Linked DNA regions of Xenopus tropicalis. The main gene of each other region encodes a partner of the protein of the gene in region 4 in a complex. Links are inferred from orthologs where the notes say so. Each region holds a gene or a part of one and is shown on either strand. Other genes may lie near its edges.

Region 1 (5,754 bases), on a different chromosome or scaffold from region 4:
CACGGGGAGATTAGTCGCCGCGACAAAACTCCCTGTTCGCGGGCGACTAATCTCCCCGGATTGCCATCCCACCGGCGAAAATGTAAGTCACCGGTGGGATGGCACATGCTGCGCAGGCAATTTGCCGAAATCGCCTGCGCAGCATGTGCCATCCCACCGGCGACTTACATTTTCGCGAGGCTTTCGACGATTTGCCGAAATCGCGCCACCGCGTGTGCCATCCCACCAAGCGACTTACATTTTTGCCGGTGGGATGGCTGGTGATGGCAACTCAGGGAGATTAGTCGTCCACGAACAGGGAGTTTTGTTGCGGGCGACTAATCTTCCCGTGTGCCAGAGCCCTAAATGGACACAATCTAAATAAACTGAGCAACCACCATAAACTTTCCATGATTAATTGTGCTTAATGCAGAGAAAATACCAATGTTGCCAGTTTTATGGTATCACATTGCACTTGAAAAACAAGGTTTTTTCAATAATAGAATTCCCTTTTCATCTGTTTTCAGATGACTATACCCGCATTGGGTATAGTAATTCTTTTGAAGAGGTATTATAACACAATAAAAGGACTATAGTAAATAAAAAAACCACTGTGTTCTGCAAGTCTGAGACAACTGCCACCAACGTATACCTCATGCCAGATGAACAGTAGCTATTTGTAGCCGTTTCACTTTTCTATGGGGCAAGTAGCCTATTTCCATAGGGAACAGAACAAAACTATTCCTAAATTTGCTGCCATCATATAGGCCTAAGGTAAAGCTTACATGCTGAAACAGTAAAACTTCTAAATCATTTTTATTAAAAAATAAAAATAGTGTCCTTAAATACAGTTTTAGCAAATTACAGTTCTAAGCAATTTTTCAGCCAACCTGTGCCTATTTTTATTCTTGCGTTTCTTGTGACTGCTGTGATGGCCACCAGAATTGGCTGAAGAAGCTGCTTTTTGAGGTTTAACACCAGACAGGGAACCATCTAAATCCTCTGTATCATCTTGGCTAGGCTCATTTTCTTGGTTCTGAAAATCTGGAGAGTTGTCGCTCTCTGTTCCGCTGCCTGGCTCCCCTAAAAAAAAAAACAGAGCAAGACCGCATAAGATGCAGTCAAAAAAATCCACGAAAATGAAAACACACAATTCTATAACTGCAGCTAATGCATACATGGTACAGATGGGCTACCTACCATTGCCAACATAAAATGTAATGATATACAAACCCTTTTTAAAGTCTTATGATACTGATAAATAACAGCTCAAAGATTACTTTAACATTTCAGAGCATGTTGGAGTATGATGTAAGTATAAGGAAGGTTTTGGCAAAAAGAAAGAATAGTGGAGATCCTGCGCAAGACAGTATCTGAAAGTAAATCAGCAATAAAAGATGCATGACACATTAAATTATGCTCTCATCTCACTTGAAGACAAATACAAAGCAAAAAAACATATAAACATTACACTCACGTTTCTCAATCAGCTGGTCTTGAACACCTGCCAATGCACTGACAGCCTAAAGTGTAAACACAAATATTTGTTATAGAGCAATAAGGCACTTTCTATAGCAGCTTAGAATATAATATGAGCAAGTTGAACAGAAGGACTCGTCTAACTGGAGATTCAACACCTGAATGTGGCATTCCAAATTAATTTAAGGCACTGGCGTACATATGCACCCCACAGATTTTTTATGTCATAATTGAATTATAATCTGGTCCACAAACTTACTGGTTACCACCTAATTGGTCCACTTTTTATTATAAGTTGGACAGCACAGTTCTACATAAATGACCTGTACAAGAACCCAGAGATCCAAAATGTTTTTCGATGTGGCTATGCCCTAAAAAAATCTGTACATAGACTGAAACTGTAATTACCAAAACAAGATTACCATGCAAATGAAAAGATGGTCATAATCAGGCCTTATAAGTTGGCCATTCTAAGGGCTATGGCACACGGAGTGTTTAGTCTAGTGATGCCATCCAGAAGAAAACAACAGTAAACAAAATACCATTGTCCATCTGCCTGTTAGTAATTAATGAAATGCGCCAAATTGTAAACCCATGCAGTGGTGGCAGTAAGACTGTGGTATGAAAACTGTGCTTTTCATTAAAGAAGAACTAAACCTCCCCTAGACAAAAGCCCCCCATCCACTGCCTTCCAATGAGCCCCATCCTTGCTCCCTCCCCTTTGAGTCTATTTCAATGAAAAGTGTCTCTGTAAAGCTGACCTACAGATGCAGAATACCACAGCGGAGCTAGCTAGTCATTTTAGGGATTATAAAATAAAAGGTTTACTTATTCTTTAATGTTCATTCATTACTAACCATGAAAGCTTTCTTAAATTGTACTTACAGCAGCTGATGTTACGGAAGATTTGCTAAAAAGTCGTTCTGCTTCTTTGAACTTTCTGTTCCTCCTATCATTCTTACTGTTTGAATTCCTGCAATAGAAAATTTTGTTTACTAGATTCACATATAAAAATATATTTGGCACTATTCTCCAGCAAGCCCTTTCTCATAGGTATCCATAGTGTATGATTATTGGCAACCATACTGTTCATATTCATAGACAAAATTTTATGAAATTACATGTATTGCCAGTTTCAGAAGGAACAAATAACATTCTAAACTACAGTGCACTTCAATGCATTCTTTTTCTAAATACTGTCAGGAGTTCATATTTTGCTTCATATTGCAGCATAAATTGTAATGCACATTAACTGGAAAAAAAAGCATATTAAAGCATTGACCATAAATCCCAGATCTTTAATAAAGTGAGTTATAGCAGTAAATGTAGTTGTGGTTGGGGGACTACTGTAGTCTGTTAAACAGTAAGTGAATCAGATTAAGTTGTATTAATCTTTTCATCAAATTTCTAAAGCAAAGGGCATATAGGGTTAAACAAAAACAGAAGCTTACTAATCCAAACTTACTTTTGATTTGTTAGGTAACGGTCCCAACCTCTGATAATGTTACCATACATCTGTGTGTCTTCCAAGTAACTCCCTTCAAAAGCATAGATCTGCCGTTCTAAATTTGCAAGTGTCTCCTATGGAGAGAGACAAATCACAACTTTTTAAAAATGCTAAATATTTATGGACACAATATTAGGACAGTTGGTATATACACAGATTAAAAAACATTTGCAGGTCTGTTACATGATTCATATTGTGACAGAAGTCAAAGATTTAGGGGGTTATGTAATAAAGTGCACTAAGTTTGCCCAAGAGAAGTAAACCATAGCAACCAATTAGCAGGTAGAATTTACTGGTCACCTGTTTAAAAGCACACTTCTAATCTTATTGGTTGCTATGGGTAACTGCTACATCTTTTATTGCATACGGGGTTAGACTTTCTCAAGTAGGCTAAAGGGACCGATATTACACTGTAATTGCTTCTAATGTATCACCTCAGATACTCAAGTAGTTTCAATGGCAACCACATGTATCAGCATAAAATGCCCACCCACTCAGTAATTGGGTAATAAGGATCCATACAGTTCTAATTTACTGAACAGAAGCGTAGCACATAACAGTTTTACATGGGTGGTGTGTTGATTTTAACATATGATTCGTAAATATTGGTACCATATAGTATACAATTACATGCTGATGCATTTGTGAGACTTAGAAGCAGAGTCAGTTGACTTGTGGCATATGGGGCAGGGATCCAAATGCCACCTTTACCACTGCATTAAAACCTTGGTAATTTCCACATAGAACATGCTGCCAACAAAATGGATAATGGTGCTTTTCAAATTCAGCTCACCCCAACAAAGTAAAAAGCAGTGTTTTCAATTGCTGTTGTCAAAAGTTGCTCTCAAGTGCGTGCTCTTGTCCCAGGAACATTTGCGCACCCACTGCAAACTATCAGCAGTGTGCACACAAACTTTCCTGGGACAAGAGTGGCTATAGAGAAAAACAGGGTCTGCTTTCTCTGTAGTTACGCTACTGAAAGTTACTATATTTGGATCATGGCACATGGAAACAATATTGCATGAAAAACAGTGTTGTATTCGTAATTATGTGAATAATCACAGTTTTTTTTTATATGATGGGGAAACATTCAGTTAAAAGCAAGTTGTGAAGTCACCAAGATAAAACACTGCATTAAGACCCATCCAGGATAGCTGTTGGGACATATGACTGCTGTCCATTGATGGGGTAACACTTTTACGGATCCTTAAATCAAAAAGTTTGCTTAGCCAAGTACATAATTAATTGGTTAGAAATTTGTTTGACATTCTTGCTTTCCAACAACATAGTTTGAAAAGTACTCCAAAAGCACACCAGTTACGCAAATTGTGTGACAATTTACATAGACATTATCTCCTCAAGTGGTTTTCTGGTTTTGACCGCACCCTCTTACATCCAAGTCATAAACGTTATCACCTTGTGTGGCTCCAATCATGCCCTCTGTTCTGCTCAATGTTACATGAAAATTTAAATGCTCCAGGCTGGTTTACAAGTGGGTGACTTGACTGTGCAAGTCCAGGGGAAGGCGCCTGAAAACCATAAAACTGATGAATAATCCAAGGAACATCTGCTTACAGAGCTGCTGTTTCGTTTGCTACTTGTCAAACTGTGTTGGGTAGTAAACCATAAACCGAGTAATCACAGACATCATAAAAGCTAAAGTCAACTGCTTTTTGTCCTGCTTTGGTCCCTAGTTCTGGCACACTTTTGAGGGTTAATAGTCTCATTGCAGAGCAATTATGGTTATTCCAGCATTGTCTATTTTAGTAGCCACAACAAGTAGCTGCTACTAGTAGCTCCATGTGTCTTCACCCTTAGGGCTCAGACAGATGGGGAGATTAGTCGCCTGCGACAAATCTCCCTTGTTATGGGCAACTATGCTCCCTGAAATGCCATCCCACCGGTGAGATAGCATATGTGGCGCAGTGATTTGCCAAAGTCGAGGAAGTCAAGGCAACTTCCGCGACTTCGGCAAATCGCCGCGTATGCCATCCCACCGGCAATTTACATTCTCACCAGTGGGATGGCAGTTTGGGGAGTTTAGTCGCCCGATGACTAAACTCCCTGTCTGTCACAGACCTTAAAGGAGAACAAAACCTATTGAAACAAAACTCGCCATTCTCCTGTTCTGCCAAATCAAAACATACTTATTATTCCTCCATTGCCACTGCTGTCAAGTTATTTCCCTCAAGAGAAGAGCTTGCAGCCATCATCTTACATTCATGTGCATCACATTCCCCTTCTATATTGTCTTTATCTCACACCACATAGCATAATGTGCATGCGCAGGGCTAGGGGACACTTAATGGCGCAAGCATTACTATCATATTGAAATTTTCTGAAAGAGAAGGAACTTTAATCTCTACAATGTTTTCATTACTTTTTAAGTGGATCGGCCATTGAAAAACCAGGGGAGGTTGCTCAAAGGCAGGCTGCTGGTAAGCACATGTATGCATAATGATCAGTACTAGCTATATTTATTTTTTTACTTTTGTTAAATACAACGGATTGTCTAATGTTTATGTATAACATGTAAGCGCAAAAAAAAGTTTGCCTTTCAAAAAATAAATCAACTGCTGTTTTAATATTAGGTCACATGCCAATCAAGAAGCTTTGACACCCAAAGTAATCTGCAAACCCCTACCAGGTCATACACAGATGAATATATTGGGTGCCTCACAGATGAGATATTTTAGTGCCATGAATGCAGTCATAGACATTTTATTAAAGAGCTTGGAACTGTTGCTGATAGTTTCTTTGAATATGACAATAAAACACTTACACAACCA
Region 2 (5,754 bases), on a different chromosome or scaffold from region 4:
TCCGAAGAGGAGAGAGAGAGCGCAGTGCAGGAGAAGCGCGCGAAGAGTGGCGCGAAGATTATTGACGTCGCGCCGAGCAGGAAGTGGAACGCATAGGTGGAACGCATGGTGGAACGCAAGGTGGAACGCATGGTGGAACGCATGGCGGAACGCATGGCGAACGCAAGGGAATCGAAGGGACAGAGGAGCCGCATTGATGGATGGTAAGAGGAGAGCAGGGCTGGAGGCAGAGGCAGGAATAAGGCAGTACTGATTAAGGGGGATCTGGGGAGCGGTTTAAGTAAGGACTGTGCTGGGAGTATGGCTACAATGGAGAAGGCAGAGTAGTACAAAAAAAGGGGGGAGGGGGGGTTGGTCGGGCTGGGTAGCCTGCAGGGAGCAGGGCTACTGAGTTAGAGGCAGTTTTAAGCCAGGCCATGGCACTGGGAAGCGCTGGGCAGCTTCTGCACTCTGTGTTCAGAGGCAGGGTATCTGCAGGGCTAGTTTTTTGTAAAAACTTACGTGCCCCAGCGTCCGTTACTTTTCCCACGTAGGGGGAAGCCTGAAAAGAGTGTCTCCTGTTGGAGATCTCTAGGACAACCCCTGTTGCCAGATGAGTCTGGCCGAAGAAATACTTGAAGAGTGATGTGATGATCCTGTCTCCTTGTGGGACACTAGAAAAAAACTGGTGAAGGCAGGAAGTACTGGGGGGTATAGCAGCAGGGAGGAGGGGTTAGTTCTCTTCTTCCTCTTCTAGTGTCCTGCCTCCTGCTGGTACCTTCTATACCCCATGGTCCCTGTGTCCCACAGACACCTGTTAGAGAAACTAAAATTACAGGCCAAAATTCTTTTGAGGCCACATGTGGATAGGCTGCTCCACTGAGCACAGCCATACAAGCTCTATACTTCTAGTATCAGTTAGAACTTGTATACACAGTTCAATTTTGGTCCATATATTGCATCCTATACCAGATATGGCTGCATAGTTCAGTGGACACCTTTAATTTGCTAAAATGACTGCATGCATTTGGAAATAGCAGCAGACAGTGGCTCCAGGAAATGTTCTGCCTGGCTGCACCACTCTCAGTGTGAGAATTGCTTCAGTCCCCAAGACAGTGGGCTGTATCAGTCGGTGGCATCAATAGATGAAAAATGTTTGGTGCACTGGGGAGCAATTCCTATGTTTTTTTTTATTTTTTTTAAATAAAATTTGTCCTTGCATCAAGAAAATTAAAATGAAATGAAAGGAATGAACTAAATTCAGGATTCAGTTAAGGATTCAGAGCTTCAGCAGAACAAAACTGAAACCCTTATCATCATTCTAATATGACATTAAAACTCTTGGTAATTGATGGCTACAAACTTTGTTCACAGGTGTCATTTTCTATTTTTCTCCATTAAAATATGCAAATTATAGTTCAGATTCCTCCACTTTTGCAGAGGATTTAGCATTCATCAGAATCCAAAAATTCTGGATTCAGTGCATTCCTATTTTTAACAAAAATTCAGTTGATACAATAGATACTTACCATTTCCCTTTAGGTTTAGTGGTCAGATCCACACAGGCAAAATGGAACCATTCAATTGGACACTGTGGGCAAATAATTTAGGAAGTAATTACACATTTAGGTGCCTTGGAAAAAAACATACACCCTATTTCCTAGATAATAGAACTGTACTTCTAACCGCCTTGCTTTTACATGCAATATAAGCTTTGGCTATAACACATTCACTTTACATAATCATTAGACTGTCTTAAGAAACCGCAAAAATAAAGGAGAAAAGAATACAATGTGCAATAAAATCAGTAAGCTGTAGCAACTCTCATGCCCTTAGGTCTTTATTAAACAAAGCAGAAACCTATTCTGAAAGGTTTACTTTTTCCATTCCAACCAGTTGAAACATTAATTTACCTTAGTTTCTAGTAGTTATGCTGGTATAGTTTTAAACCTGAGGCTAAAACATTGATGTAACCTGTATTTCCACTTGCACTTTTCTTGAATAAGTGTAGAAATTTATTTCTGAGAATGTTATCCTATTGCAAAAGTGAAGACACTACAGAATAAATCCTCAGATTGTAGCAAGGCAGATCAGCTGAAACTGCTGAACAATCTATTGCTAATTTTTAAGAATATAGACAAAATATTGCATTTTGGATTTGAATTATTCTCTAAATCCAATCATACAGTACACACTTCCAGGCAAGGACACTGATGTATCCATACAATATTCTGAACTTATTACTTACATCTGGATTGTCACAACCAATCATTTCCCCATAGGACACCTGGTGGCAAAGGCAGTATGTGGGTTCATTGGGATCCACTGGCATATCCAAGACATCCGAAGGGGTCACAGACAGGACTGAATCAGCATATACAGGCCTGGCAAATACAAATATATCAGCAAGCCAGCGAGTTAGGTCATGTAAATTACCCATTAAACAGCTTCAGATTAAAAAAACTATAAATGTATTCTGAGACAATTTATTCTTCATTTTTTGCATGGTTTCTGAATTATTTAGCTTTTTGTCAGCAGATATTTGGCTACCAAGGTCCAATCTATTTACAGTAACAACCAGGCAATGGCTGGAATGAGAGACTGAAACATGAAAAGGAGAAGGCCTAAATGTAACATTATAATTGCAGCCTCAAAGGGCAATAGTTGACTGCTGGGGTCAGTGACCCCCTTTTGAGAGCTGGACACACAAGGGGAAGGCAAACTTAAAAAATATATAAAAATGAGCAGCAATTGAACAATTGCTATGGATGGGAAATTCTAAAACATAAAAATGTTAAATGTACTTCACCTTTAAAGTGGTCAGCAGCCTAACTCACACACTTACACAGCTGTACCCTTGCATTTAAACACCCATTAAATCCACAGCTCTTGCAGTCACATTAAAAAATAAGGGAGCAGCAGTTGAAGATACCACTTTTTAGCCCTTATTCAGGACAGTTTGGTGGCCCTATTGATATTACACAATCTATTCCTTTTTGAAAAATGTAATATTTTGGACAATTAACGTGGAAGTTACTATGTAAATGTTTTGTTTAAAGCCACAGCTGCTTGATAAGGGTGCAAAAAAAAATTGTGTATGTGGCATTCAACCTGGAAACTATAAGAGGTCTCACATAGTCTACGCTGTTACTAGAACAGTAACAAACTGATACAATTCCTCACCCTCCTTTCATTTTCTTTTTCTTTACAGTGTCCTCTTCAGATACTCTGCGTCCTCTTGACCCTCGTTTTTCTTTTTGACCTCTATTCTCTTTAAAACAAAAAAGTTATGTTTTTTTAGGATGAATAATTTTGTTTCTCCAATTTTGATGTACTGCTATTTATCTTCCAGAGTACCGTATATAGTCGAATATAAGCCGAGTTTTTGAGCACTAAAAATGTGCTTAAAAAGTAACCCTCGGCTTATACTCAAGTATATACGGTAGTTGCCTATGGATTCGCAGATGCAATGCGCTCCTTGCGTGCAATCCCCCCCCCCCCCCGTGGACGGGCTTGCAGACGCACGCGCAAGGCATCATACGCACCATAGCGTTGCACCATTATGGGACGCGCCGCTGCACCATTAAGGGATCAGCACAGAACCGATGTGACGCGCGTAACATTTCAGGCAATCCTTAGCTTTTGACCTTCAGACAGTCCTTTCACATGTAGGTAAAGTTTGGCACACAAGTTAATTGCACACAGGGGCATGTGCTGCTGCGCTCACGCAGTGTTATTAACTCCGGCTCAGTAAGAACATAGAAGTGGCAGCTGCCAGCCAAACACGCAAGCAGGCAGAGCATCTGATACAGGGAGTGGAACGTATTGGGTGGTGGCGATGTACAATATAAATAACACATTTATAAGGTTTGGTTAGACATGCATTGTCGTTATGGGGCGCATTAAACAGAATACAATATACTTGGATCAATATACTTGGTTCATTGGATGTGCCTGTCACTGGTAAGAAATAAATATGCTAGGAAGCCACAGTATTCTCCCACTTGTGAGTATTTCTGTGGACCTCTATTCATAGTGCACCATGTAAAGGGAGAAGGAGGAATGAGCAAGAGTGGGTCTTCTTGCAGGGATTTTTAAATGTTGAAGGAAAAGATTAGCGAGATTTTTTATACACAACATTTTGTAACTCACTCTTTACTCCACGTCCTGCAGGACTATCAAACTCTGACCCTTCCAGTTTTTCTTTAAGATCAGCCTCAAAGCGGGCCAGATCAGCATCCAGCCTTCGTATATGTTTATCGACCTATTAGACAGACAAATATATTTCAAAATAATAATTTCTACACACAAAAATGACATTATTAAAGTCATGCATGGCATTTGTTATTTATGGATTCATTAAACTGCTGCTCACCATTTCGTAGGTCTGCATGGCCAGTTGCACTTTATCATCACTGTACTCTTTGCATTTGCTATAGGCAGACTGAATTTTTTGAAGGTGCTGTACTCTCTGCTCAGGGGTGTAGTCCCGCACCTTAGCAATATATTCGCTTGCTAAAGCATCAATCTCCTTCTTCTTATCTATTAAAAAAAGCAAAAGGTACAGCTATAGTTAATAGGCAACTTAAACCTCCCAATAACCTTTGGCCCATTACATGGTTTCAATACACAAAGATACTATAAGAGGAGTCTGGTGAAAGTAATGTTCTACCCCACCTGCATCATTTTTGGTGTGAATCCCAGTCTGGCCTACTACTGAATTGCCAGCAATGTACTTGTAAAGAATGGCAGAGCAGTATGAACAAGTGCTAGCAAATAAAGTGTTGTCAGTCAGAATATAAGGTGTTTATATCAAAACAATATGTAATGTCCCTTCTTGGGTCAAAATCTGTCTGAAAATGTAGTGGAACGGCAGTTGGCAAAACTCAAGAAGGACATCAGGCATCACTTTGGTGGAGTAACATGTAGCAGAGTGGTTTGGCTTATGACAGTGGTTTCCCAGTGGCGTAGGCACTTCATGTGCATGCTGACAGGCTGTTTCTGTGCCTGTTAGTGCGAACACAAGGCCAAGTGAAAGGGAGGAGACTTGCCCTTTCCTTGCTGGCATATCTACGCCAGCAGAGAAAGAGTAAGTGCCTTGACCTTAAAGGAGAAAGAAAGGTAAAAACTAAGTAAGCTTTATCAGAAAGGCCTATGTAAATACAACCATAAGCACTCACAAACACTGATAATGATGGTGTTAATATAAAGTGTAAAGATGCACAAAGACTGATCTAGTCAAGAAATTTTCTCAACAGAAACTATAGTCCACATATAACTTCCACTGATGCATGTTAGCTCTTCTGGCACATCAATGAGTGAAAACAGGGCAGCATTCAACACTCAAAATTACCCTAATATATTACATTTTCTGTAATACAATAATATATACCAAATGAAGTGTGCCAGCTCAGTGCCTAACTTTCCAGATCTTACTTAAAGGGATACTGGCAGTAAAATAAAACATTTGATTATATGATTCTACCTCCAAAATGACCTATTACACATGTTGACCATTTTCTATGGAAAGCGCTTGTTTTCTTAATAAACGCTTCTTAAGATCCAGGACCCGACTGTGAGCCAAACCCGACTGTCTCTGTTAAGCCTGTCAGTCAAAGCAGGAGCAAGGCTGACGTCAGTCTCACAAAGAGCCTCCTCCTTTCCTTTTCCCTTACTTTGAGAAGCGTTGTCAATCATGTGACCCTGCCGTGATCTTGGTGTCTTCTCTCGAGACTGGAGACTGCCGAGTGCTGACTGCCTGTGAGTATACTGCCT
Region 3 (5,754 bases), about 58 Mb from region 4:
GGTCTGTATGTGAGTGGATAGGTCAGTATGGGTTTGTCTGTGCTGGGTTTATTTGGAAGGGTTGAAATTGATGGACTCTTGTCTTTTTTTAACCCTATGTAACTATGTAGAATGTGCCCTATATTTCTTCAGCCCAATAACAGCAGCAAGATTTCAAGTATAGGTCTGGTTATTGCTCATAAACATGTGATGCCTTGATACTAAAGGCCCTATAGCATTGGGGGCCAGATTGACATGTTTTATGAGTCCAGTCTGCAAGAAAATCTGGGATAAACACAGAACTATGTATCTGCCACCTGCTGCAGTATAGCCCAGGCCTGGCTCACCCATGCACGTCCGTCCTGCTGCAGTGACACAATCGATTCACTCATGAATAGCCTATCCTGCTTGCGTCTATCTGCAGAGTAACACTGGTCCAATATTTTTTCCTCTTACTGCAGTGTCATTGTGACCCCCCCCCCCCCCCCCCCCACCGTCATATTAACCTGGCAACAGAAATCCCATATACCTGTGTCTGTCTTTGGTTTTCCCATATACATCCATATAATATTCAGTGTAATTATTGCACAAAGAAGCTATTTATCTTCCATGTAATGTAGTCTGATATATGGCAGTGGTACATTGTGCAGGGATATGGTAGCCTATTGCTGTGTTGTAAGCAGCGAGTGAATCCAACCTTATGTTTCCATCCTCTGCAGGCTTCCCAAGCTGTACTTGTGTGAGTTCTGTCTCCGATACATGAAAAGCCGCACAATGCTTCAGCAGCACACGAAGAAATGCAATTGGTTCCACCCACCTGCCAATGAGATTTACCGCAAGGACAACCTTTCCGTCTTTGAGGTACGTAGGTCACAGTGACAGTAGCGGCGCCACAGGAGCGCACACGGCTGTACCAATGTGTTACACTCCTGAGTGCTATCTGTTTCCCTGGCCCTCTTCCCTGTTCTTTTGCCAGTGATGCACAAAGTTTTCATGTAAGCGTTTCCTTGTGCATCTTGTACTTCATTGTTCTTTCTAGGACTTCTCTGTCCCGAGTGTCTGTGTCGGCACCAGCTTTCTTTCTGCTTGTCTTTGCATTTTGTCCGAAGCTCTTGTGTTTGCTGCTTCAGTCCTTCCTTTGTTCCGGGCTTTAATCATCCGCTTCCAGTACCTCACTGCATTGTTCTCTGGGCTTTGTTTGCTTCCTTTTATTCATCCTCCGTTTGGTACTGTGTCACCTTTATGCCAAAGCCACAAATGGGCAGAAATAAGGTGCGGGGGGGGGGGGGGGGAGAAAGAGGTGAAACTGCTCAGTATTGGATTATATGTTCCTATTAACATTTCTTTAGGTGGATGGAAAGGTGAGCACCATCTACTGCCAAAACCTCTGCCTTCTGGCCAAGCTCTTCCTCGACCACAAGACCCTCTATTATGACGTGGAGCCCTTTCTCTTCTATGTGCTGACCCAGAATGACTCGAAAGGCTGCCATCTTGTTGGATATTTCTCCAAGGTGAGGGAAAGGGGCTGTTTGCTGTGCACCTGTGTTTTTCTCACTAAGGAAGAACGTCCCCTGATTCAGCTTCTTCCCAAAGTAGGTTACGCGTAGTTCCAGCTACCTTCAAAGCCAGATGGCAAGCAAATGGATGAATAATGAGGAGCCCTGATACGATAGTGCTGTGGCAGTGTTCTTAAAGGGACCCCCTCACTTTAATTTTTCAAATTTTTTTTTTTTTTTTTTTTATGTTAATAGTTGATTGTATTCATATATGTTTAAAGGGGTGGTTCACCTTCAGATTAACTTTTATTATGTTATAAAATGGACAGTTCTTATCAACTTTTCAACTGTTCTTTATTTTTTAGTTAAATTATTTGCCACCTTCTAACCATTTTCAGCTTTCAAATTCCCAATGGCCCATAACATATAGCAACAGAGATAACACCCTGTTAAAATCCATGGAAAATGGCATTGTTGCAAAAGCTCTAGATAAGAAAATCAGCCTTCCCAGCACTCTTATCTCTCTCATCTAGATAATCAGCAATGCCCGGGAGATGGCTGCTTCAATAGGCTCCTTCGATTCTGGTTGTTTGGTGACCCTAGCATTTAGTAGCAAAGGTTCCACGTGCCAGGTTTCTGCGCTGCTAAGGAATGCAGGGTGGCGTGTCAGTGCCAGCAGTCGGAGATGACCCTGCTCTAATTGTACGGCAGATTCCAAGTCTATAGAATGACATGCCAGAAGCTCTACATCAGAGGCTTCCACGGGGTTCTAATGACTTGGTGAATGCAGAAAGCTGTGTCCTAGAGAATATGAAAGGCTTTAGGGCTCTTTAGTCAGGCTTCAGAATTCTAAATAAGGCTGGTTCCCAGGAGTTCTCTCTTTGTGGCTATAGCAGCATGAAGCTCATCTTTCATCCTTATAATCAGCAGTGAGCTGCAAGCTTCAGAGGGTTCGTGCCAGTGCTGATGACACCGGCCTGTAATCACCCGTCTGAAATCCCAGCGTAAAAATGTCTCTCATCTCCCACCCAAAAGTGACATTTTGTGGACTAATAGGGAATTTTGTTGCAATGCCTACATTCTGCACCCCATACGCAGCTGTGTTGCATGCAAGCAGTGGTCCATTACAGATCCATACAAGTCCATTACAAACTCCATGGATATACACTTAATTACAAATGCAGATTATTGTGCTCATGGTAAGTCGTAATGCAAGCAAGGGCTGGCCAATAGGCAAATGCAAGGTTAAAGAGAAATTGTACAACTGTGATTGGCATAAAATCCTCAGACTGCGCCCTCTGGTGGCCAGACTTGCTTAAACGTGCAAGAATTAGGTCCATTTCTTAGAGGGCCACAGAGTGCTCTTCCTGTTTAAGGTTGCTAGGGCAACTACCTTGTTTAAAATCTTGGTTGCTGATGAAAAAAAATGGAAAAACTTGAAACCCACAGCACAATATGCAGATCAGTTGCAGAGTCTATTGTGATACATATATAAAGGTGAATATTGCCTTTAAGAATGAGCAGCTTCTGCTTCAGCACCCTACTATGAGAAACCCTCCTACCCCCCTCCTCCTATAAAATAAAGCCTTCCCCACTAACCCGTTTATCCGGTCCATAGAAGCCATGTATGTGATTCTTGTATAATACTGGGCCTGATCCACGCTCTGATGCATCTTTGTGTTTCCCTTCCATCCCCAGGAGAAGCACTGCCAGCAGAAGTACAACGTGTCCTGCATCATGATTCTTCCACAGTACCAGAGAAAAGGATACGGCCGCTTCCTTATAGACTTCAGTAAGTAAGGGGGGGGAGGGGACATACTTGTTAACACTATATGGGAGCTGTTTGCTTAGATGTATTCCACTGCTTTAGAAGCGCTTTATGCAAACGTTACTCTCCATATGTCCCCTTCATTGACATCCAGGACTGGTTTCATAGAGTGTCTAGAAGTGCAGACATTCTCTCCAAATATTACCTGGCTTTTAGGCTGGATCCCTATCCAAGGCACTGTGCCCCGCTGGGGGAGAGCCCAAGCTCCCTGCATTACTGAAGGCATCGGCTTCTTACTGATGTATGATCCAATGTATAGTAATGCACAACACCTTTGCTATTTCCTCCTAGGTTACCTACTTTCTAAACGAGAGGGGCAAGCAGGATCCCCAGAAAAGCCACTTTCCGATCTGGGTCGGCTCTCTTACATGGCGTACTGGAAAAGTGTGGTACTTGAGTGTTTACATCACAACCGAGAGCACCAGCTAAGCATCAAAAGGCTCACCAAGCTGACTGGTATCTGCCCCCAGGACATTGCGGCCACGTTGCACCAACTACGTATGCTGGAACTTCGTGGAGACCGGTGAGCTCCTGCTGCTGCTGTTATACTTATTTGGGGCTTCCTTGTTGCTTCTTTTTCTTTAAATTCACTGGGGAATGTAATCCCCCACCCCTTACCAATGCGTTATATGCTTATCTGTTTGTCCTCTTCTTCGTACAGCGTTGTGTTGGTTCGTCGGGAACAACAAATTCAGACACACATGAGTCGTTTGCAGGCCCGGCCGCGGGAAGTAGAGGTGGATCCAGAAGCTTTGAGATGGACACCTGTTATTGTCACCAACTCTGTGGTCTCGGATGAAGAGGAAGCGGAATCTGAAGAAGAAGAGGATGAGGAGGAGGAGGAGGATGAAGAACAAAGAAGTCCTCTGAAAGACAACAGTGTGAGTATGGCAGACTGTGTAACCATACTGCTAGCCTGCTCTTCTGTTCTTAGTCTTGTTCAGTCACTTACCTGCTATACATTGAATGATGTGATATGAACGAAATCACTGATTTAGGCTCTGAGCTGGGCCTTCCCTTGGTAGCCATAGTCTAGCTCGGGGATCCCCAAACTTTATACATGTGAGCCACATTTAAATGGAAAAAGTGTTTGGGAGCAACACAAGCATTAAAAATGTACCTGGGGGTGCCAATGAGCTATAATTGCCTACTTATTAGCCCCTGTGTGGACTAGCAGCCTACAGAAGGCTCTTTTTGACATTATATTTGGTTTTTATGCAACCAAAACTTACCAGAAGTTCAAAAATAAGTAGATGCTTTGAGGCCACGGGGAGCAACATCCAAGGGGTTGGGAAGCAACATGCTATTCATGAGCCACTGGTTGGGGATCACTGGTCTAGCTCATACTTATTTTAAATAAACATACTTACCTTACAGTTTAATGTTAATGGGGAGGGAAGTAAAGTTTTATGTGTACAAATCAGAAACCTGGTTGTGTGAAATGAATAATGATAAAGCTGGAAACATTGCGGTTAATTATCTCCCTCCCTCCCTCCTTAGCAACAGGTTTTGAGAAGCATCTCAAGAGAGTTTGAAAGAGAAACCTGTCCTGTTTTGGAAAAGGAGAAGAGCCCACCTACGCTCCGTCCTTCCTCCCCAAACTCTCGTTTTCCGAACCCACGCCAATTGCAGGATTTGCTTCGGGATAGCTTGCCTGCCAATAGTCAGCCTCCCGGAAGAGGCCGAAGAGGGAGACGTGGGCGGCGGGGTAGAGGCTTTGGGTCTTCCAGTCGTGCTGCGGACCTTTTAAGACTGCTTGCCAGGGAACCCCCAGGGCCCCCTAGGCGAAATGGGGAGAGGGGCCGCTCTGGATCACGAAGGGGCAGGCTGAAGAGACTGGCTGATCCCATGCTCCGTAGAGACTTCTTAGAGCAACAGGAAAGGCTGGCTCAGCGCTTCGAAAGCGAACATCCACAGCTAAGGCGCTTCAGTGAAAGCAGTGAAGAGGAAGATGAAGATGAAGAAGAGGAGAATCACAGCCTGCGCTCTGATTCCCCACCCATCCTAACCAAGCCCACTCTCAAACGCAAGGTGGGACTTATTATGAAACCAAGAATTATGGCTAGAGTATAAATGTTTCTAATGGAAATATATCATTCATAATTAGGACTTAGCTTTCTAATTAAGGAAGATAAAGTAGGGGGGTGTACCGTTTTTAGTGCATTCCCTATTTTTATGTAGTGTTAAATTGTGTTTTTTACTCTCATTACGAATACATTTCCACAACTGTGATTTGGAAGTGACCTCACTGATGCAGTGCCATTAATGTGAATACAGCATTATAGTGTGTACCCAAAAGTCTGTGCAAACACACTCGGGCTCATTTAGCAGCACTGGGCAGTAACCCATAGCAACATATTAGTGATTGCTTTTTTCATCCAGTTGCAGGTTGAAAAGTTATTGCAACAATTTGATTGGTCCCCTCTGGTTACTGCTCATGGGGAAAATTTG
Region 4 (5,754 bases):
TTAATAAAGACATACACATTTGTTACATCCATTTTTTTTGTACAAACTACTGCTGGTAATCCACCGAAGAGGAAGCTCGTGCACACCCTTGCTTTTCCGGGGACAGTGAGGTCCGGTGCTTAGTGACAGAATCAGAACCCTACCCAATTCAGTTTTAACATGGAAGCACAAGGTTTCAGAGCCACACCCCTTTATCAAGCATGCAATGCAATGCTTAGATGATAATCAGAGACCACTGGTCCGATTTGTTCAGACACACTACAAAGCTTAGGGCAAGGTCACACGAAGTGTATATATGCTTCTCTCAGCCCTGCGTTTTTCTGCCAGGCTAAGAGAAGCAGATCAGTTTCCCTGTGCTACTGCCTTAAAGACAACAGCAACTGCCCAAGTGTGGGCACGCAGTGGATCGGAGGTTGGCCTGGAAAACATCCACTTTCGTGTTTTTCATGCCGCCCTCCGATCCACTCTGCGTGCTCGCAATTGTGGGAGTTAATGCAGGCACACAGAGGAGCGTAGGGAAGTGGATAAGCTTCTTTCAGCATGGTAGAAAAACGCAGGGCTGAGAGAAGTAGATATATGCTTCGTGTGACCTCGCCCTTAATGTAACTTTTACAAGTTTTGTGGAATTTGCTGCATACAGAAGCAGGCATATTAACATGTCTGAAAGCAGTTTTGTGCAAAATTAAATTAACCTTAAGGGGCAGTATCTGAGCTGAAAGTAATCAACAGCATCTTAGTTATAGAGCTGCTGACTTTATTACTAACTGCCTAGGGACTCAACAAGTGAACCTTAATTCTGGTCACCACTATTATCTTTATAATGAGAAATGCTGGTTACATAGCAGTAACTGAAACAGTGGCTCTATATTGAACTGGCACAGTCAATGAATCTGAATAAAAACTCAATAAGCACAGTATTTTTTTCATTATAAATATACGTACACATACAAAGACCGTATACAAGGTGGAAGGTAATTAAATGACTTACCATCCTCCCATGAAAATTGTGGTGGGGCTTCAATTTTTGGTTGTTCTGGTAAATGCATCCCTGTTTCCTCATCGAAGCCAATGACATTAGCCTCCCTTCTAGCTTGCCTCAATAAAACACCTCCATGGTCTCTTAACCGTACTGCAGCTCTATAGAAAATGGTATCCTTTGCATTGTATTTCATACAGTTCTCAATAATAAGGTTGAAATCTTCCTCAAATTCATTCAGATTTCTGTATCTCTGATCTTCTAACCGTTTTTTCATAGTAGAAAAATCCATAGGATGCTTTATATGGTCCAAATAATCTGGAACCTGTATATCAGGAAAAAAAACCCTTACTTAGTTTGTTAAGAGAGGTTGATGCCCTACATAGGTTACAGTGAAGGTGGCATAACAGCAAAATCAAAGCCTATAGCTTAATCGTTTCCTTAAAAAAACGAGTCAGTTATTCTTTAAAGCAGTGTTCTCCAACCAGCCGTTCATGAGCAACATGTTGCTCACCAAACCCTTGGATGTTGCTCCCAGAAGTCTCAAAGCAAGTGCTCATTTTTTAATTTCTGGTAAGGAGGCAAGCTTTGGTTGCATAAAAACCTAGTATAATACCAAACAGAGCCTTCTGCAGGCTGCCAGTCCACATAGAGGATATTAAGTAGCCAATATATCTCTTATTGCCACACCCAGGAACCTTTTTCATGCTTGTGTTGCTCCTCAACACTTTCCATTTAAATGTGGCTCACGGGTATAAAAGGTTGGGGATCCCTGATTTAAAGAAACAAGACTTAAAGCTAGGCAAACATGGCTAGATTTGGTCTGGGGTTTTGACCATTTGACCATACTGGCAAGCTGCTTGGGAAGGTATGTCAGGTTATGGGTGGGATCTTAGATTATCTGTCCAGTTTGGGAATATTTAACCTGTCAACACGTCGGTGGGTGTATGAACCAGCTCCTCTTCACTTCATGCGTTACAACTGTTTGGGCTGCCAGCTGAAGAAGTCTACAATGGAAAAGGCCCGTACATCTATGACCAATGGTACCGTAGCAGTCCTTTCCAATATCGCTTTTAAGGTATTGTGGAGGATCACCACTCTTAAGGGCTACATTGTAAAGCAGATTCCATTTATGAATATTTTTTAGACAGACATTATATCCAGGCTACAGTAATCTCAAGATCTACAAATTAAATGTTTTTATATCTTAACTCTGGGAATAATTTGGAGGGGTTAAACTTGATGGTCTACTGCCATTTTGCCTAAGATGGGGTTAAACTTGATAGCCTACCATTAACACAAATAAACTATTTATGAGCACCTTAATTGCGCATAACAAATTAAAAATACTCACCTCTGTAAGGTTAACAGGATGAGCAAATATGCGAGCTGGATCCTTTTCCTGTAGCTGTTCAAGAAGGGATCGTAGCAATACAGTGAGTGGAGTCAGTTTAAGTTCCATAGCAACTTGCTCAACTTTAACCTAGTGAACAGATTTTAAATAAGAGTTATTCATATAATATTAACAAAATAAATAACACTGTCCAAGTTATGTGATGTTACTATTTCCTTTGCTTAATGTAACCTATAAGGGAATTTAAGTGCAAGCACCTTTTGATTTCTCTCTATCTACAATCTAGAATATGTGGTAGTTAAAAGGAGACTGTAGGATAGACTTCCATGGGCATATGCAGCATAGTCTTCGTGATGGCCAACCTCAAAAGACAATAAGGATGATATTTGGGTTGAGTGTTTTGCATCTCTAATCTTGTTGTTATGAGCTAACAGGTGGGATTGTCACACACAACCAAGATAAAGGGGTTTCTGAAAAGGAGAGAGAGGATTATGGTACCGGTATGGGACCTGCTATCCAGAATGTTTATGACCTAGGGTTTTCCAGATAAGAGATCTTTCCATAATTTGGATCTACATAACTTAAGTCTGCTAAAAATCATTTAAATATTGAATAAACCCAATAGGATTGTTTTGCCCCCAGTAAGGATTAATAATTCCTTAGTAGGTATTGTTTTATTGTTACAGAGAAAAGGGAAATCATTTTTAAAATTTAGAATTATTTGCTTATAATGGAGTCTATGGGAGATGGCCTGTACGCAATTCAGAACTTTCTGGGATTCCGGATAAAGGATCCCATACCTGTACTGTTAAAGATTGAAAGTCGTCGTCGTCAAAAAAAAAAAAAAAAAAAAAAAAAAAAAAAGATTTATATATTACAGGATGCACAAACAATTTGAGAAAGAGTAAGCAGTTAAACCTTTTACATGTAAGGGGCCACTTGTCATACATGTCCAAAAGTTGATATATAGTAAAATAATAATACTGTGCACAGAGGTCTATGAAGCCTTTGAGCAACATACATATTAAGCATCATATTACATTTATAGTACATTTATATGAATGCCCGGAACCCAAGTTTTCCAAAAAGGGAGATTTCTGTAATTTCCATAACTTAAGGGGGGGGGGGGTATGTCAGCAGGTAGCATTTACTGGTCACCTATTTAAAAGCAAACATCTTATTTTTGTTATGGGTTACTGCTCCTTGGTAAACTTTGTGCCTTTTCTTACATATGGTAGTCTACTAGAAACATTTAAGCATTAAGTAACCCCAAAAGAGATGTTTTGCCATTAATGTGGATTCTTGTAGCTTTGTAAAGATACAAGTACATGTTACTGCTTTATTATTACACAGAAAAAGTAAATAATTTTTAAAAATTAGAATTATTTGCCTAAAATGGACTCTGTGGGAGCAAGCCTTCAATGAATTTGGAGCTTTTTGGATAATGGGTTTACAGATAAAGGATCCTATACCTGTACTAGTCCCTTACACCTGCAATAAACAGTCTGACATCTGCATTTGCAGGTCCGTTATGATTTCAATATTATATCGTTACATCTATCCATAAAAAAAGACAAAACAAAAATCAAGTATATATTAAATGTTACTTAATTTATTTTCTCACAGAGCCACCCACCAAGTAGCTATCTGGCAAGAGGAAAAACAAAAATATTCTGATAAAAAAAAGCAACAACATACCTGTTCACGCTTTAGTTTTTCACGTTTTCGGATAAGTTCAATCAACAATCGAGCCCTTTCAAGGTCATGTCTTAAACGCTGCAAGTACTTCAATTTCTTCTTCAGGGCCTGCACTTCCTCATCATCTTCACTCTAAAAAGTTATTTAAAAAAAAAAAAAAAAAAATGTATCCTACTGATTGAGACAATATCTAGTGTACGAAAAGCAGCCAGAAAGAAATACAAAAGGGGGTTTGGCATGTGCTGATTGTTCTACCTAATCAGTGTTATCTCTAAATCTAATTAAATGTATTTTAGTAAACGTAAAGTCAGCTTTGGGTTTGCATGTATGTATTTAACTGCTGTAGATTGCATATGGATGCTGAAATTAAATAGTGGTACATAAAAAGTTTGAAAGCACCGGCTACAATTTCTAGTGTATTGAATGAGCCCTATCTTGAATTTTTTTTGCCAAGTTAAATTTAACTGCAGTTACAGATATTGCAAAACTTTATCATGTATTGGGGGTCCATACCTCTTGTATATTCCTTTGTGACTGTAAACTTGACTGGAGCCTCCTCAACAAGGGAATGCCATTTCTTGAAAGCCTTTTTAACATCCAGTAACTGTGAACTCTTTCAATGAACTGCTTCTTCCTCGGAATAGACACTTGATTTATGATTTTATTTACTCTATATATAAAAAAAAAAAAAAGAATTACATATATTAGTAGAATTTACAGTAAAATAACTATTGTGGCCTTTCTTTAGACATACACTGCCACTGAAATCACAATGTCCTGGAGAAGGACTTTCATTATAGATCATTTCCAAGGTAAGCTAAAGGGTGTAACTGTTTTGTTAATGTCAAAAGCAATACAGTATTTCTTGCCTTAATTTTACAATGATTAACATGGGGTCCCATAATTGAATGCAAACAGGAATAGAGTATTTTAGAATATTTTTGGCCAAAATAGCCGAATGCTGGTTTATAAACATAGGTGCTAAATTGCAGTTGCTAATAGTAACCAGTCAGCAACCAGTCCACCGGCGATTCCCTTTAGGGCTGTGACACACGGGGAGATTAGTTGCTGTGCGACAAATCTCCCTTGTCGCAGGCGATTAATCTCCCCGAAATGCAATCCCACCGGCTAGAATGTAAATTGCCGGTGGGATGGCATACGCAGGGCCGTGATTTGCCTTGAGAGGAAACTTCAACGATTTCGGCATATGGAATCCCACTGGCGATTTACATTCTAGCAGGTGGGATTAATCGCCTGTGACAAGGGAGCTTTGTCGCACAGCAACTAATCTCGCCGGTGGGATAGCATTTCGGGGAGATTAGTCGCTGCAACTTAGATTTGTTACGCGCCGACTAATCTACCCATGTGTCACAGCCCTTATTGCTGGTGGAAGGGCTTTTTAGGGAGATTAATTGCCTGTGGTAGCAGGGATTTATCGTGGGCAACTAATCTCCATGTAGGACATTACCCTAAGAGGCTATGCACAGAAAGTACACAGTTGGTGTCAAATAGGATGGATCTAAAAGCACACCTGTCAGGTAAGAACCACATTGATGAGCATTACAGTACTGTAACCATTAGGCTCATAGCAGTGAACAAACAATACCTGCGGTTAATTTTCCTCCATTTATATGAATGGGCAACCACAACTGCACTCAGAATTATCAACTAAACCTGACACACGCTAATGTACCGTGTTGACAAGTGGATGAAAAACTGTCAAATG
Region 5 (6,552 bases), on a different chromosome or scaffold from region 4:
AGGGAATACAGGGGTAGGGGAGATAGCTCTCAGTACAAGTGAGGGAATACAGGATTATGGGAGATAGCTCTCAGTACAAGTGAGGGAATACAGGGGTATGGGAGATAGCTCTCAGTACAAGTGAGGGAATACAGGGGTAGGGGAGATAGCTCTCAGTACAAGTGAGGGAATACAGGATTATGGGAGATAGCTCTCAGTACAAGTGAGGGAATACAGGGGTAGGGGAGATAGCTCTCAGTACAAGTGAGTGAATACAGGGGTAAGGGAGATAGCTCTCAGTACAAGTGAGGGAATACAGGGGTAGGGGAGATAGCTCTCAGTACAAGTGAGGGAATACAGGGGTAGGGGAGATAGCTCTCAGTACAAGTGAGTGAATACAGGGGTAAGGGAGATAGCTCTCAGTACAAGTGAGGGAAAACAGGGGTATGGGAGATAGCTCTCAGTACAAGTGAGGGAATACAGGGGTAGGGGAGATAGCTCTCAGTACAAGTGAGGGAATACAGGGGTATGGGGGATAGCTCTCAGTACAAGTGAGGGAATACAGGGGTAGGGGAGATAGCTCTCAGTACAAATGAGGGAATACAGGGGTAGGGGAGATAGCTCTCAGTACAAGTGAGGGAATACAGGGGTATGGGAGATAGCTCTCAGTACAAGTGAGGGAATACAGGGGTAGGGGGGATAGCTCTCAGTACAAGTGAGGGAATACAGGGGTAGGGGAGATAGCTCTCAGTACAAGTGAGGGAATACAGGTGTAGGGGAGATAGCTCTCAGTACAAGTGAGGGAATACAGGGTTAGGGGGGATAGCTCTCAGTACAAGTGAGGGAATACAGGGTTAGGGGGGATAGCTCTCAGTACAAGTGAGGGAATACAGGATTATGGGAGATAGCTCTCAGTACAAGTGAGGGAATACAGGGGTATGGGAGATAGCTCTCAGTACAAGTGAGGGAATACAGGGGTAGGGGGGATAGCTCTCAGTACAAGTGAGGGAATACAGGTGTAGGGGAGATAGCTCTCAGTACAAGTGAGGGAATACAGGTGTAGGGGAGATAGCTCTCAGTACAAGTGAGGGAATACAGGGGTAGGGGAGATAGCTCTCAGTACAAGTGAGGGAATACAGGGTTAGGGGGGATAGCTCTCAGTACAAGTGAGGGAATACAGGGGTAGGGGAGATAGCTCTCAGTACAAGTGAGGGAATACAGGTGTAGGGGAGATAGCTCTCAGTACAAGTGAGGGAATACAGGGTTAGGGGGGATAGCTCTCAGTACAAGTGAGGGAATACAGGGTTAGGGGGGATAGCTCTCAGTACAAGTGAGGGAATACAGGGTTAGGGGGGATAGCTCTCAGTACAAGTGAGGGAATACAGGGGTAGGGGGGATAGCTCTCAGTACAAGTGAGGGAATACAGGTGTAGGGGAGATAGCTCTCAGTACAAGTGAGGGAATACAGGGTTAGGGGGGATAGCTCTCAGTACAAGTGAGGGAATACAGGGGTAGGGGGGATAGCTCTCAGTACAAGTGAGGGAATACAGGGTTAGGGGGGATAGCTCTCAGTACAAGTGAGGGAATACAGGATTATGGGAGATAGCTCTCAGTACAAGTGAGGGAATACAGGGTTAGGGGGGATAGCTCTCAGTACAAGTGAGGGAATACAGGGTTAGGGGGGATAGCTCTCAGTACAAGTGAGGGAATACAGGATTATGGGAGATAGCTCTCAGTACAAGTGAGGGAATACAGGGGTAGGGGAGATAGCTCTCAGTACAAGTGAGGGAATACAGGGGTAGGGGGGATAGCTCTCAGTACAAGTGAGGGAATACAGGGGTAGGGGGGATAGCTCTCAGTACAAGTGAGGGAATACAGGGGTAGGGGAGATAGCTCTCAGTACAAGTGAGTGAATACAGGGGTAAGGGAGATAGCTCTCAGTACAAGTGAGGGAATACAGGGGTAGGGGAGATAGCTCTCAGTACAAGTGAGGGAATACAGGGGTAGGGGAGATAGCTCTCAGTACAAGTGAGGGAATACAGGGGTAGGGGAGATAGCTCTCAGTACAAGTGAGGGAATACAGGGGTAGGGGAGATAGCTCTCGGTACAAGTGAGGGAATACAGGGGTAGGGGAGATAGCTCTCAGTACAAGTGAGGGAATACAGGGGTAGGGGAGATAGCTCTCGGTACAAGTGAGGGAATACAGGGGTAGGGGAGATAGCTCTCAGTACAAGTGAGGGAATACAGGATTATGGGAGATAGCGCTCAGTACAAGTGAGGGAATACAGGATTATGGGAGATAGCGCTCAGTACAAGTGAGGGAATACAGGGGTAGGGGAGATAGCTCTCAGTACAAGTGAGTGAATACAGGGGTAAGGGAGATAGCTCTCAGTACAAGTGAGGGAATACAGGGGTAGGGGAGATAGCTCTCAGTACAAGTGAGGGAATACAGGGGTAGGGGAGATAGCTCTCAGTACAAGTGAGGGAATACAGGGGTAGGGGAGATAGCTCTCGGTACAAGTGAGGGAATACAGGGGTAGGGGAGATAGCTCTCAGTACAAGTGAGGGAATACAGGGGTAAGGGAGATAGCTCTCAGTACAAGTGAGGGAAAACAGGGGTAGGGGAGATAGCTCTCAGTACAAGTGAGTGAATACAGGGGTAAGGGAGATAGCTCTCAGTACAAGTGAGGGAATACAGGGGTAGGGGAGATAGCTCTCAGTACAAGTGAGGGAATACAGGGGTAGGGGAGATAGCTCTCAGTACAAGTGAGTGAATACAGGGGTAAGGGAGATAGCTCTCAGTACAAGTGAGGGAAAACAGGGGTATGGGAGATAGCTCTCAGTACAAGTGAGGGAATACAGGGGTAGGGGGATAGCTCTCAGTACAAGTGAGGGAATACAGGGGTAGGGGAGATAGCTCTCAGTACAAGTGAGGGAATACAGGGTTATGGGAGATAGCTGTTAGTACAAGTTGATCCAGGGACTGGTCCGATTGCCATCTTGGAGTCAGGAAGGAATTTTTTCCCCTCTGCGGCAAATTAGAGAGGCTTCAGATGGGGTTTTTGCCTTCCTCTGGATCAACTAGTAGTTAGGCAGGTTATATATAGGCATTATGGTTGAATGTGATGGACGTATGTCTTTTTTTCAACCCAACTTACTATGTTACTATGTTACTAAGGGTAATGGTGTCACCTGTGTGAAATTACCTTTTCAGTAGGGATATGCCATTAATTATAAACATTGGATTAGCCCTGTGCCTGCGGAGGCATGAATTCTATTGCTCAAACATGCTCAATGCAAGGGATTTTCAGTATTTTATCACAGCCACTTGCTAAAAGCATTCTCCATATATCTCAGAGTATTCTGTATCTCAGCGAATATGAGGCATGCAGATGTATTAAAGCGATAGTTCACCCTTGCATTAACTATTAGCTGATAAAACCCTATTCTTTTTAAAATGGTCATTAACCCCAGCAAGAAGTTGTATTCTACGTATCTTTCTATCCATGCCTCAAGTCCCTGGTTCGTAAGGCAAATGGGAACCTAACCACATAGCTGCCCGTTTCCAAAATGGAGAGCAACAGAAAAATGAAAATGATTTCTCTGTGAAATAAATTATACTCAGATGTACTTGTACGGGAATATACACCTGTAACACTCCATGTTATACAAACAGCTGAAGCAAAACACTGAATGTACCTCAATTAGGTTTCCATGCTTTCCAACACTGCTTCCTTACTTCCTTTGTTTATACCACGCCCTTAATTATCGGCAGCCTATAGAAAACCTTGCAGTGATCGCACAAACCAATCCAACGACGGACTATAGCGGCACCGACAGGAACAACATACTACAATAGCGACTGCTATTAAACCACCTCAACCAATCAGTAACGAGAGGAAGGCGGGACCAGCAAGTAATTGGCGCGCATGAGAATCAATGAGGCGCCAGTCCTGACAGACATAAACTGCGTCCAATCCACAGCTGCACAGAGCACATTTCAGCCAACCACAACATAAGATGGAACGCAAGTATCCAATCGCCGCCTCTCACGAGTTAACCCACAACAGGCCTTGGTTTGACTGTATCTCTCACATGGAGGCTGCTGCAGGCAAAGCAAAAATAGCGCCGTATGCTCTGCACAATAGCCAGTGCCTACACGCAGCATTCTTCCAGTGCAGTGTCCAGAAGAGGCCCACGCCACACCAGGGGCACACGCCCACCCCCATACGCAGCTTCCATTTTCCTATCCCATGCATCTCACCTTCCTCCGGGGCATCGCTTGGCGCTCCCCCCTTCTCCCTTTGATCCCGCCCAGCACAACCGAATTCGCGGTTGGCGCAGAACGGGCTTTTTCTTGCGCCGTCTCCGGGTAACGGCAGAATGACGCGCAGGCGCGGCCCCTCCCCTTGAGTCAGGTTTCTCGCCCTGTGCATCGCGTACGCACCCGGAGCCCCTCCTCCTCACCTCTCACTCGCTATTGTCTCTCCGTGGGAATAGCCCCGCGCATGCGCAGAACATGGATCTGCTCAGCCCGTTATACCAAAAGGCAGTCAACTGGCTCCTTGTGTATCCATGCGCATATATCTGCCGGAACTATATGTTCTTATATCGCAATATTATTGTATAGTTGGTGTCTTTTCCAGCCATTGATTCACAGAACCCTGCAGTCATAACTTAGAGCAAGAGAGGGGCAGGGCAAACTGAATTCCTGTGGGAACAATGTTGTTTATCCCTGGGATAGCACGTTGGAGATGATAATAACTACAATCTCTAGCATATTGGCTGCCAATATGGAAGCTCACTCGCAGAAGCCTATATTATCTTTAAAGTGAAATAATCATGTTTTCTTTCTTATTAATAATAAAAAATAATGACAACTTCTGGTATTTCTTAGTAAAATATTACAAGGCAATAGGTACTCTTGGCTCAAGGCAACAAGCACCATAGTGCCTCAGAAAAAAGCTCCTTGGCAACTGTCGCCAGTGTAACGGTGTGGTTTTACCCAACACACTTTCTTCTTTGCAAGTTTTAGAGTGGTTGTACCATGGTGCCTGGGCAATTGCTGCATAACATGTCCCCATTATAACTGTTTTTTTTTTTATTTTTTATCCCGAGGTCAATGCTTTCTGTTCCTAAGTGCAAAATCACATGTGCACAAAGGGTGCAAACTAGCCAGTCCTAAAATGGACAAGGCCACCATACTCGATTCCCACAGGCCAAAAGGCTCAGGTGAAAAAACGAGTCTTCGAGTCCTCCTTTGCTGGGGGGGGGGCTTAATCCCTGACCAAAAGGCTCCAAAGGGCAAGGGTCTTCGAACTCTTCTTCGCTTCATGGCTAGGGAGAGTGCCTTTCCCCTGGGGTCGGCCAACGCTACCCCCAAGGTTTCTTCAAAGTCCGAAGTCTTGTCTTTTGTATCGAGAGACCGGAACCTAATGGCCACACCGTCCTCCCCTAGGTCTGTGGGGCATACCCTTATGGGCAAGTGCACCATCAAACCCTTAAGAAAGGGTCACATATAAAAAATTGCAGTGACAAAACAAGGAGGTGAATAGCAACTGGCGCTTGTTGCTGTTGCAGATATCACAGTGATGACCACAGTAACTTACATAAGTAGTCACAATGACCATTGTTACCAGTGCTGTGGCAACCTTTACCGTGTTTCCATTAAGGCAATCTGTAGATTCTGGCAAATGCCAGAGGGTCTGCTGAAAGATGCCATAGTCACCATTATTGGGCCTATGGGGGGTTGTTTGGGCTGAAATGCCAGGGCCCAATTTAAATTTCAGTCCAGACCTGGTGCCATTGGTGACCACAACCATTGGCAGCTGCTTCATGGTCTCTTGCATGGTAGGTGGCTCATTGGTTAGCCCTACAGTAGTGATTTGGATTAAAAAAAACAACCCAGTTACCCAAACCAGCCCCTGCCTTTGAATAACCCACCCAAGCCCAACTCATTGTATTTAATAAATAATGATCCAAACTTACTGGTGACATCATATCCCCTGGCCAACATTTACTATCATTTCTGTAGCTTTTTTTTTATCATATTTCCATGGAAACTCATACCATCATCTAATTTGCAGCTGTTACTGTTGTTTCTATGGTAGCTGTCACAGCAGGAAATCTTTCACTAATAGCTTTTAACATACTTTTCCTCACTTATATCAGTGGCACCTGTTACCATAGCAATTGTTACGATGGTTGTCCTTGTGATTGCTACTATGGCCCAGATCATTAAAAGCAATGTTTTGGGTCACAATGGCAACTGTTTCCATGCTCTTATTGCAGGCATTGCTGTGGCAAATGTTTCCTTGGTGACTATTACCAAGACAGCTTTTAAATTCATCTCTATGGCAACATAATATCCATAGCAGCATTGATATTGTGACAACCAGTACCACTGTATACATAACGACTGTCTCAATGGCAAATGCAGCCTGCATATCACAAGCACTGACATTTCAAAAGTCCATGTTGTATTTTTTCTTGCATTGTCTGTATTCTTTTTTTATTCATAACCATATTCCGAGCAATTGAAGGCTGCAGTGGAAACTGTCCCCTGGTCACTATG

Evidence for each region.
Region 1: brd1 (region 4) and meaf6 share a complex: the UniProt entries of both Homo sapiens proteins name them as parts of the MOZ/MORF complex. The link is inferred for Xenopus tropicalis from reciprocal best matches to the Homo sapiens genes BRD1 and MEAF6.
Region 2: brd1 (region 4) and ing5 share a complex: the UniProt entries of both Homo sapiens proteins name them as parts of the MOZ/MORF complex. The link is inferred for Xenopus tropicalis from reciprocal best matches to the Homo sapiens genes BRD1 and ING5.
Region 3: brd1 (region 4) and kat6a share a complex: the UniProt entries of both Homo sapiens proteins name them as parts of the MOZ/MORF complex. The link is inferred for Xenopus tropicalis from reciprocal best matches to the Homo sapiens genes BRD1 and KAT6A.
Region 5: the proteins of brd1 (region 4) and kat7 are in contact, whole or in part, in a crystal structure (PDB 5GK9), measured with the Homo sapiens proteins. The link is inferred for Xenopus tropicalis from reciprocal best matches to the Homo sapiens genes BRD1 and KAT7. Residues at the interface, in XP_047297239.1 of Homo sapiens: Val40, Ile42, Glu43, Ile44, His49, Arg50, Ile51, Ser52, Ile53, Phe54, Asp55, Pro56, Leu57, Glu58, Ile59, Ile60, Leu61; in NP_008998.1 of Homo sapiens: Leu531, Phe534, Gly536, Lys537, Glu538, Ile539, Ser540, Ile541, Lys542, Pro552, Val553, Val556, Gln560, Leu565, Tyr567, Lys571, His572, Leu573, Val574, Leu575, Lys576.

Annotation. Positions count from the first base shown.
Region 1 is NC_030678.2:86,131,928-86,137,681, forward strand, and holds part of meaf6 (chromatin modification-related protein MEAF6), read right to left. Parts: intron 3,040-5,754; coding exon 2,924-3,039; intron 2,432-2,923; coding exon 2,344-2,431; intron 1,503-2,343; coding exon 1,457-1,502; intron 1,063-1,456; coding exon 870-1,062; intron 1-869.
Region 2 is NC_030681.2:125,708,889-125,714,642, forward strand, and holds part of ing5 (inhibitor of growth protein 5), read right to left. Parts: intron 4,522-5,754; coding exon 4,355-4,521; intron 4,244-4,354; coding exon 4,132-4,243; intron 3,251-4,131; coding exon 3,163-3,250; intron 2,364-3,162; coding exon 2,228-2,363; intron 1,571-2,227; coding exon 1,509-1,570; intron 1-1,508. UniProt on the Homo sapiens protein: Component of the HBO1 complex, which specifically mediates acetylation of histone H3 at 'Lys-14' (H3K14ac) and, to a lower extent, acetylation of histone H4. Component of the MOZ/MORF complex which has a histone H3 acetyltransferase activity.
Region 3 is NC_030679.2:130,477,523-130,483,276, reverse strand, and holds part of kat6a (histone acetyltransferase KAT6A), read left to right. Parts: intron 1-698; coding exon 699-840; intron 841-1,328; coding exon 1,329-1,490; intron 1,491-3,173; coding exon 3,174-3,267; intron 3,268-3,594; coding exon 3,595-3,826; intron 3,827-3,964; coding exon 3,965-4,184; intron 4,185-4,803; coding exon 4,804-5,334; intron 5,335-5,754. UniProt on the Homo sapiens protein: Histone acetyltransferase that acetylates lysine residues in histone H3 and histone H4 (in vitro). Component of the MOZ/MORF complex which has a histone H3 acetyltransferase activity. May act as a transcriptional coactivator for RUNX1 and RUNX2.
Region 4 is NC_030679.2:72,520,853-72,526,606, reverse strand, and holds part of brd1 (bromodomain-containing protein 1), read right to left. Parts: intron 4,699-5,754; coding exon 4,542-4,698; intron 4,161-4,541; coding exon 4,029-4,160; intron 2,460-4,028; coding exon 2,331-2,459; intron 1,302-2,330; coding exon 989-1,301; intron 1-988. UniProt on the Homo sapiens protein: Scaffold subunit of various histone acetyltransferase (HAT) complexes, such as the MOZ/MORF and HBO1 complexes, that acts as a regulator of hematopoiesis.
Region 5 is NC_030686.2:14,503,208-14,509,759, reverse strand, and holds the start of kat7 (histone acetyltransferase KAT7), read right to left. Parts: upstream 3,794-6,552; 5' UTR 3,678-3,793; intron 1-3,677. UniProt on the Homo sapiens protein: Catalytic subunit of histone acetyltransferase HBO1 complexes, which specifically mediate acetylation of histone H3 at 'Lys-14' (H3K14ac), thereby regulating various processes, such as gene transcription, protein ubiquitination, immune regulation, stem cell pluripotent and self-renewal maintenance and embryonic development.